2 linked regions of the Macaca fascicularis genome follow. The protein of the gene in region 1 binds, or shares a complex with, the protein of each later gene. Links are inferred from orthologs where the notes say so. Each region holds a gene or a part of one and is shown on either strand. Other genes may lie near its edges.

The links. The genes of interacting proteins can lie anywhere in the genome.
Region 2: the proteins of MUSK (region 1) and DOK7 are in contact, whole or in part, in a crystal structure (PDB 3ML4), measured with the Mus musculus proteins. The link is inferred for Macaca fascicularis from reciprocal best matches to the Homo sapiens genes MUSK and DOK7. Residues at the interface, in NP_035074.2 of Mus musculus: Leu547, His548, Pro549, Asn550, Pro551, Met552, Tyr553, Gln554, Arg555; in NP_001335203.1 of Mus musculus: Leu154, Ser155, Asp156, Leu157, Arg158, Arg159, Tyr160, Gly161, Gly172, Thr173, Arg174, Ser193, Asp197, Val200, Arg201.

What each region holds. Positions count from the first base shown.
Region 1 is NC_088389.1:47,325,521-47,329,997, reverse strand, and holds part of MUSK (muscle, skeletal receptor tyrosine-protein kinase), read left to right. Parts: intron 1-1,435; coding exon 1,436-1,637; intron 1,638-2,152; coding exon 2,153-2,344; intron 2,345-4,477.
Region 2 is NC_088379.1:3,716,491-3,720,967, reverse strand, and holds part of DOK7 (protein Dok-7), read right to left. Parts: intron 3,138-4,477; coding exon of another isoform or gene 2,936-3,137; intron 1,406-2,935; coding exon 1,286-1,405; intron 1-1,285. UniProt on the Homo sapiens protein: Probable muscle-intrinsic activator of MUSK that plays an essential role in neuromuscular synaptogenesis. Acts in aneural activation of MUSK and subsequent acetylcholine receptor (AchR) clustering in myotubes. Induces autophosphorylation of MUSK.

The DNA of each region.
Region 1 (4,477 bases):
AATCTAGCTTCCTGCCTATGGCAATATTTATATTTTCTAATGCTTCAAATTTGGTGATTAATATGTTCCTATCATTTTCTTTAAGGTGTGAAATATATAATTACATATTATTTTAATTAACTTTGAATCTGTTATAACTTTTTTATCATTTCTAATTTTCTATGTTTGTACCCTTTCTATCTTTTTAATTAAAATTCCATTGATTAGACTACTATATGAATATTTATAAAACCAACTATTGATCTTTTAATTTTATCATTTGCGTTATGTGTATTCTAACTTATTAATTTCTGCTTGTGTATGGCTGTTACTTTATTACCTATTATCTTTTGTTTTCTGTAGTTATTGTTTCTTACCCAAAGTCTTGGGTTAAATGTTCAGTTCCTTCACTTTCATTCTTTTTATCGAGTGAAAGGAGATAACACTATGACTTTATCTTTGAGCACAACTTTGGCTAAATAAAATACACACTCTTAAGAGGCTTGTGTCTAATCTGTAACTATGGTTACTCTCTATTTTTTGATAAAAAGATCATTGATTTTTTTCTTTTTTAAAAATGTCCCATTGGATTTTATTTAATCTATTATTAATTGCACTTTGGCCATTAAGTAGATATGCATAATTTCTGCTTTTAAAATTTATTGAGATTAATCCACAAATATTTGAAAAGAAGGTTTATTCCCTATTTTGGGGTACAAAGGTCATTCTTAGCTATTAAAACATTGTTGTTGATTATTTTAAAATACTCTGTATCCCCGTTTTTGTCTTTACTCAATCTATTAAAAGGATTTAAAATGTGATTAATAAGGTTCTTTTAATACATATACAATGGACTTTGTACTCTACAAATAGTGGTATGAGTATGGCATCTTTTGTTTTCCAAAAGTAATGCTGATTTTACTTATATATATATATCACATTGGACTTTTAAATTGAAGTTTGACAGGAGTTCAGTTTTTACATGAACTTTTTCTCATTTGTGTCCTAATATTTTCATTTTTCATCTTCTTTCATGATTTTTTCTTCTGTTTGTAAACTGACAGTAAATGTGTATAAAAGTTCAGCTCTAGACAATCCTGATGTCAAGTGTAATTACATGAAAATATTTTATTTGATAATTTCCATGATTTATGTCAGGTCATAGATAACATGATTCAGTATAAATGGCACCAGACCAAGATCTGCATTTAGCTCAGGGAAAAAAAAAACAAAAACCTATTTCCTCTCTCTGACTCTCATCTTTAAAATTCTATTATTCTACAAGCTGGATTTACTTACAATTAGACCTTACTGAACTTTATAGATATATAACCAGGGAGAACCTGATACATAAATATATTCTTAACATGAAATTTATTTTACTGATTGCTTAAATACAAAAAAAAAAAGTTGCTTCTTAAAGGTTTGAAAATGAATAATTATTGTTTACTTACAGCATTCCCACCAATGACGTCCTCAAAGCCAAGTGTGGACATTCCAAATTTGCCTTCCTCCTCCTCTTCTTCCTTCTCTGTCTCACCTACATACTCCATGACTGTAATAATCTCCATCATGTCCAGCTTTGCAATATTTGCGCTTCTTACCATCACTACTCTCTATTGCTGCCGAAGAAGAAAACAATGGAAAAATAAGAAAAGGTGAGATTCTAGTTTCAGCTAACCACGTGTAGTAATATTTTAAAACCTCATGTTTAATATGGAGTTGGTATGACGCGAGGAATATATATGACACTGCAACTCTCTAAATATATCCGTAGCCCTGCTTTAAAATTAAGCACCCCCATCACGATCTTTACAAATGTCAATGACTTTTTGGCATAGGATCAAATCAAATGCCCTAGGGTTACTGTTTCACAAAAGGTAAAATCTAAACAAGAATTTGGAGGAAAATGGCTATTCCTGCTCCTTGTCTTCTCTCTCAGGCCAATTGCCATTGCTGGCTTGGAGAGCTAAACATTTCTGAGAAAATGTGCCTTTTGACTCTAGACCACAAACAGAATATTTTATTGCTCTCAAACCGAAGGATCTTTGGCTGCCTAAGTATAATTTGTTTTCTTTACTCTTAAATGCCATATTTCTTAGAATCTAAGTCTAAGTACAAAGATCGTACCTACCTCTGAGCTCATTCCTGATCTTGCCTGTCTTGCCTGCAGAGAATCAGCAGCAGTAACCCTCACCACACTGCCTTCTGAGCTCTTACTAGATAGACTTCATCCCAACCCCATGTACCAGAGGATGCCGCTCCTTCTGAACCCCAAATTGCTCAGCCTGGAGTATCCAAGAAATAACATTGAATATGTGAGAGACATTGGAGAGGGAGCGTTTGGAAGGGTGTTTCAAGCAAGGTAAAGTTATGTTTGGAAAAACAGTCTCCATTGAAATATGTTATGTCTGAAAAGCTACCAAACTATTAGCTTGGTATATATATAATATTAGCTTTATATATATATATATATATTATATATACTGTGTATATATTTTTTTATATATATATATAATATTAGCCATTGGTACTCAGGGCATAATCACTGGGTCTACACTCAGACTAAGAAGTCATAGATGGGCGTCTCTTGTAACCTCCAATTTTGCAAGTGTCCTATTTCAAATGGCTTTAGGCATCTACTGCCATAAAGGTTTTATTTTGACTTTGTAATATGTTATATTAATATATCCCCTTATATTAAATCATTATAATTATATTAAATCATCATAATATATGTAATATATATTATATATATACACACACGTATATATCAAGCTAATGATATAGTACATATATGTATAATGTGTGTGTATACACACACATATACACATACACACATACATATATACACACACAGTGTAATATACAGTATTATATAGTATTCATATACTATATAAAAAGTTTTTATCAAATTAGTTAATTCTGGCCAGGTGTGGTGGCTCATGCCTGTAATCCCAGCACTTTGGGAGGCTGAGGCGGGAGGATCACCTTAGTCAAGAGTTCAAGACCAGCCTGGCCAACATGGCAAAACCCTGTCTCTACTAAAAATACAAAATTTAGCCAGGCATGGTGGTGAACACCTGTAATCCCAGCTACTCGGGAGCCTGAGGCAGAAGAATTGCTTGAACCCGGAAGGCAGAGGTTGCAGTGAGTCAAGATTGTGCCACTGCACTCCAGCATGGGTGACAGAGCAAGACTCTGTCCCCCGCAAAAAAAAAAAAAAAGACTAGTTAATTATTTACATCATTACATCATTAACCTTATTTGTATTACATAATACACTTCAAATCTTAATTTCTCCTCTTTGCTGGAAAATAGTAGTATATATGGAGATAATATATTTTTTTGCATTTAAAGTAAGTAATTTATGGGAGATGTAAATGTATCTTCACTTCTACAGTTTTCAAATAAGAAATTAGTAATACAGTTCAATAATATTTCCTTTTCAGGAAAGAATTTATCATATATTTTTAATCATAATTTCTTACATTGTTTTAAATAATAACTCCTTACATTATAATATAATGTGTAGATATTAAGTAGATGTTCATGAAATGACAAACAGAAAAGGAATAAAAAGGCAAAAATTTATAAAACAATGAGCTCAAGAAAGGAGTATGTATTAGGGCCAATATTAGCCTATTTATCACCTTTGCGTGAACTGGAATAAAATACCCTCTCTGCTGCATGGATGTGGCTCTACAGACACACAGCTGAGCCAGAGAATATGAATTTGGTTTTAATCTTCAACTGTCACTTTGGCCTGGTGCTCTTGGGGAAGACACAACTTAATCTCCACTCATGGTGGCCCTGGCATAGAGGTTACATACATAATGAAAATCTCACACAAATATGTATTGGAAACCAAAATTTGCAAGGCACCACTTTAGGCTCAATGGAGGGTACAAAGATGCACTTTAGGCTCAATGGAGGGTACAAAGATGAGTAAGCCATGGTTCCTACATCATGGAATTTAGATTCTGGACAAAGATTAAAAGGTTAAGATATAGCTGGGCACAGTGGCTCACACCTGTAATCCCAGCACTTTGGGAGGCCAAGGTGGGCGGATCACGAGGTCAGGAGATCGAGACTATCCTGGCTAACATGGAGAAACCCCATCTCTACTGAAAATACAAAAAATTAGCTGGGCATGGTGGCAGGCGCCTGTAGTCTCAGCTATTCGGGAGGCTGAGGCAGGAGAATGGCGTGAACCCAGGATGTGGAGCTTTCAGTGAGCCAAGATTGCGCCACTGCACTCCAGCCTGGGGGACAGAGCGAGACTCCATCTCAAAAAAAAAAAAAAAAAAAAAAAAAGGTTAGGATGGCAATGATAATCCCATTGGGGGTGTATACTTTAGAATTCCTATAATTTGTAAATAATGCATCTTTCAAACTTCATTGTTTGAAATTATTGAAAATAACACCAGTGATTTTTATTAGTTGACATCAAGGAGTTTCAAGTATGTTTTCTTTGATCCTATGGCTCTGGGAAAGG
Region 2 (4,477 bases), on another chromosome or scaffold:
ACCAGAGTGTAGTAAATGTGGAATTATAAGTGAAGGAAGGAATGAGCTGAGCAGGGGAAGAAGGAGGGAAGGAATGAATAGGTGGGAGACGGAAAGAAGGAATGAGCAGGAAGGAGAAAGAAAGAATGAATGAGCAAGAGGGAAATGAAGGAATGAATGAGCAGGGGGGAGAATGAAGGAATGAATGAGCAAGAGGGACATGAAGAAATGAATGAGTAGGCAGAGAATGAAGGAATGAATGAGCAGGAGGGAAATGAAGGAATGAAGAGCAGGGGGAGAAGGAAGGAATGAATGAGCAGGTGGAGAAGGAATTAATGAGCAGGGGGAGAAGGAATGAATGGATGAGCAGGCGGGGAAGGAATGAATGAATGAGCAGGAGGGAAATGAAGGAATGAATGAGCAGGAGGGAAATGAAGGAATGAATGAGCAGTGGGCGGGGGAAGGAAGGAATGAATGAGCAGGGGGAGAAGGAAGGAATGAATGAGCAGGGGGAGAAGGAAGGAAGGAATGAGCGGTGCGAGAAGGAAGGAAGGAATGAGCAGGGGGGGAAGGAAGGAAGGAATGAGCAGGGGGGGAAGGAAGGAAGGAATGAGCAGGCGGGGAAGGAAGGAAGAAAGGAGCAGGAGGAAGAAGGAAGGAAGGAGCAGGAGGAAGAAGGAAGGAAGGAGCAGGAGGAGAAGGAAGGAATGAATGGGGGGAAGGAAGGATGAATGGGGGGGAAGGAAGGATGAATGGGGGGGAAGGAAGGATGAATGGGGGGGAAGGAAGGATGAATGGGGGGGAAGGAAGGATGAATGGGGGGAAGGAAGGATGAATGTGGGGGAAGGAAGGATGACTGTGGGGGAAGGAAGGATGACTGTGGGGGAAGGAAGGATGACTGTGGGGGAAGGAAGGATGACTGTGGGGGAAGGAAGGATGACTGTGGGGGAAGGAAGGATGAATGTGGGGGAAGGAAGGATGACTGGGGGGGAAGGAAGGATGACTGGGGGGGAAGGAAGGATGAATGAGTGGGTGGGGGGGAAGGAAGGATGAATGAGTGGGTGGGGGGGAAGGAAGGATGAATGAGTGGGTGGGGGGGAAGGAAGGATGAATGAGTGGGTGGGGGGGAAGGAAGGATGAATGAGTGGGTGGGGGGGAAGGAAGGATGAATGAGTGGGTGGGGGGGAAGGAAGGAATGAATGAGCAGAGGGAGCCAGCAGCCCCCACACATGCATGGAAGCCTCCTGAGCTCTCCCACTGGAGACTTAGCTGAAGTCCCACAGCCCAGGCCAGCCCCTGGCCCCACCTCCACTGCCCGGCCGGCCTGCATGCGAGAGGAGGCTCAGCCGCTTCTCCAGCTGCAGGGTTTCCAAGGCTTCCTGGGCCACGCGCTCCTCCACAGTCGAGGGTCCCGGGGGACTTGGGTCTGCAGCAGAGAGAAGATTCAGTGGAGGAAGTGGCCCCCACCGCCCACCCTTGCCCGCAGGCACCAGGCCCAGCCTGACGCGGTGGTGGCCCCCTCCGTGGAGTGGCAATCCCCTGGGAGTCCCTGCTTCTCCCCATGCCTCAGCCCAGATGCTGGGCCTCAAATGCTGCACCCACACCACCCCTATCCAGGCCACCATCCGCCCTGCTGGGTCCCTGCACCCATGGATGGCCCTGCCACCTGTCCACTCACCAGGACCCCACGCCAGACCCCTCTTCCTCGCCACGGAGGTTTTCAATTTTTTGTTCCAAAAATGGCCAGCCCCTCCCCCATCCCCAGGGCCAGTCTCACTGCAAGAGGGGCTGCCTGCCCCTGATTCACAGTGCCCATTTCTCACAGGCTCCTCTCTGCCTGGGGAAATGCCCGCCCACCTTGTGGTGGTCCCATTCCCTGGGGCCTTGGATGGAGCCTCATACTGTGCCTGAGGCTCAGAGCACAGTGGTCTGCGGACCCTCGGCCCCACCCAGCCCCTCCCTCAGGGCTGCATCCAGGGAGCAGCAGCCCCACCCTCTCTGGTCATCGTCCCTGTGTCCTCTGGGTCCTCTGGGACTGAGTGGCAGGAAACCTCCCTTCTCACTGGCCCCTCGGCACCGCTGTCCCGAGCCTCAGCATCACCGCCCTGGTCCCCAAGCCCCCCGCCCGTGCTGGGATGTCCCGGGCACTAAGTGATGTGGGCACTAGGCTGAGTGGCTGCCGTGCTCCAAACAGCAGGGCTCAAGACCCCGCCCCTTCCACATCCATAGCACCCACGGCCACAGCCGCCCCAAAGAGGTTCCCTGGCAGGGAAGCCACAGCTACAAGCACAAGAGCAAACCGACCCCGTCCTGCTCCAGGTGGCCTCCTCTGGGCCTCCAGGACACACCTCCTGCCACCCACCTTGGGGGCACCTGCAGGACTGAGCCGAAACAGGCCCAAGGACCTGCTCTCCCCAAAATCCAGGAGCAGTGGCAGCATGGAAAGTTTACACCAAATCCTGCAGCACAGAGGACTGGAAGGTACAGTCCCCAGCCTGGGACACCTGGATCAGAGCCTCGGTGGACAGAACCGAGCCTGGCGGAGGTTGGAGCCGGACATCCTGACCCCGTAGTCAGGGTTCCGGAGAAACAAACAGAAAGCAATGGTGTCCCTGTCCGGGTTCACATCTAGGCTGAAGAGGCCCCATCCCTGATAAGACACTGTCCTCTGCTGACACCTTCAGGCGCCCAGCTGGGGCCCTTGAGCACAACAGGAGGCCCCATCAGGACCTCAGAACAGGGCTCTCCCCATGGGCAGGCGAGAGCTCACAGCACCCGGCCCAGGAACGCAAGAAGGACCTGGAGGAGCCTCCCCCAGCCTCCGGGTATGGCCGTCCCAAGGCACTGCCCGGGTCAGCCTGGGGCCCTGCCAGCCCATGACCCTGTGGCCCCATCTGTAGCATTGCCAGGGACAGGGATGGGGCCAGTACAAGCCTCTCTGCTGTCCCCTCCCTACCTGTGCCTGGGAGGGTGGAAGGCAATGGCAGCCAAGGCTGTGCCAGCTCAGGCCCCAGTCCCTCCCAACACAGGCTGCTGGTGGCCATGGAGCCCACAGGCCACTCGGCTTGGCAGCTCCTGGCGCTTTCACCGACACATTCTGCCGCGTGGGCAGGACAGCAGGCGCCAGTCTTGGCTCCTTGGTGTGCTGAGGGTCCAGGCTGAAGACAAGCACAGTGACAGGACAGCACCGCTGTCCCTCAGCCCTCGGGTGTTCCGACCAGGGCCCCCCACAAAGCCAGTGCCCTGCAGTTGGGATGAAGAGCGGCCCTCGGTGACACCAGGGTCAGGACACAGGACACAACCTCCCACCGTTTCCCATCCAGTAGCTGGTGGGCAAGACACAGATCGACTCCCAGCTCCACCATGCACCCCCTGAGCCTCTCAACCTCATCTGCAAAAGGGTGCAGCAACGGTGCACCCCCGTGGAGGCTGGGCCAAGAAGGTAACATGCACGCTGTGCTCGGAGCGTGGCGGACACCGGGCCTCTGAGCCCTTCCCTCCTGCTGCTGGCTGGTCTGGCTGCCTCTGGGCCTTGGTGTCCACGTGCAGAAGACCAAGGGGCTGGACCTCCTGCATCTCTCGGCCCCTCCGGTGGGTCACAGCAGACTCAGCACAGGAGGATGGCAAAAAGCCCAGAGCAGGCCGGGCGCGGTGGCTCAAGCCTGTAATCCCAGCACTTTGGGAGGCCGAGACGGGCGGATCATGAGGTCAGGAGATCGAGACCATCCTGGCTAATATGGTGAAACCCCGTCTCTACTAAAAATACAAAAAACTAGCCGGGCGAGGTGGCGGGCGCCTGTAGTCCCAGCTACTCGGGAGGCTGAGGCAGGAGAATGGCGTAAACCCGGGAGGCGGAGCTTGCAGTGAGCTGAGATCCGGCCACTGCACTCCAGCCTGGGTGACAAAGCGAGACTCCGTCTCAAACAAACAAACAAACAAAAAAAAAAAAAAAAAAAAAGCCCAGAGCATGAGGATGCTGCCCGCAGGGCTTTGTCGTGGGAGCCCTGTGATCACAGGGCGCCAGTGTTTTGCCAGCCTGGGCAGACGACCCCACCAGCCCAGACCTTCCCATGACTCCAGCCTGCAGGGGCTGGGCCCACGGCTCCTCCGGCGGGGTGCTGCCCAGCATAGTGTCCCAGCTCCACCAGCACCTCCAGGTGGCCTGAGGCCCCCACACACCTGCAGAGGCACAGCTGGGAGGCACAGCTGGGAGGCACAGCTGCAGGCCGAGGCCCTGACAGCAGAGCTTTCTGAGAGCTCCCAGCTGACTCTGACAAGGACATCCTGTGGAGTGGGGTCTGGGACTTCTGGTCAGCCCAACTCCCTCCAGCTGTCAGCAATGACCCTGCCTGGGGCTGGCCCGCTTGCTGCCGCGGTGGGGCCTATCCTGTCTAGTGGCTGTCCCAGGCCGACCCTCCCCAGCATCCTCTACCCAGTGCTGCTTCCCTGGCACGGCCTCTGTTCCCTGGGAACCGCCTGAGGGGAGCAGGAGAGAGCG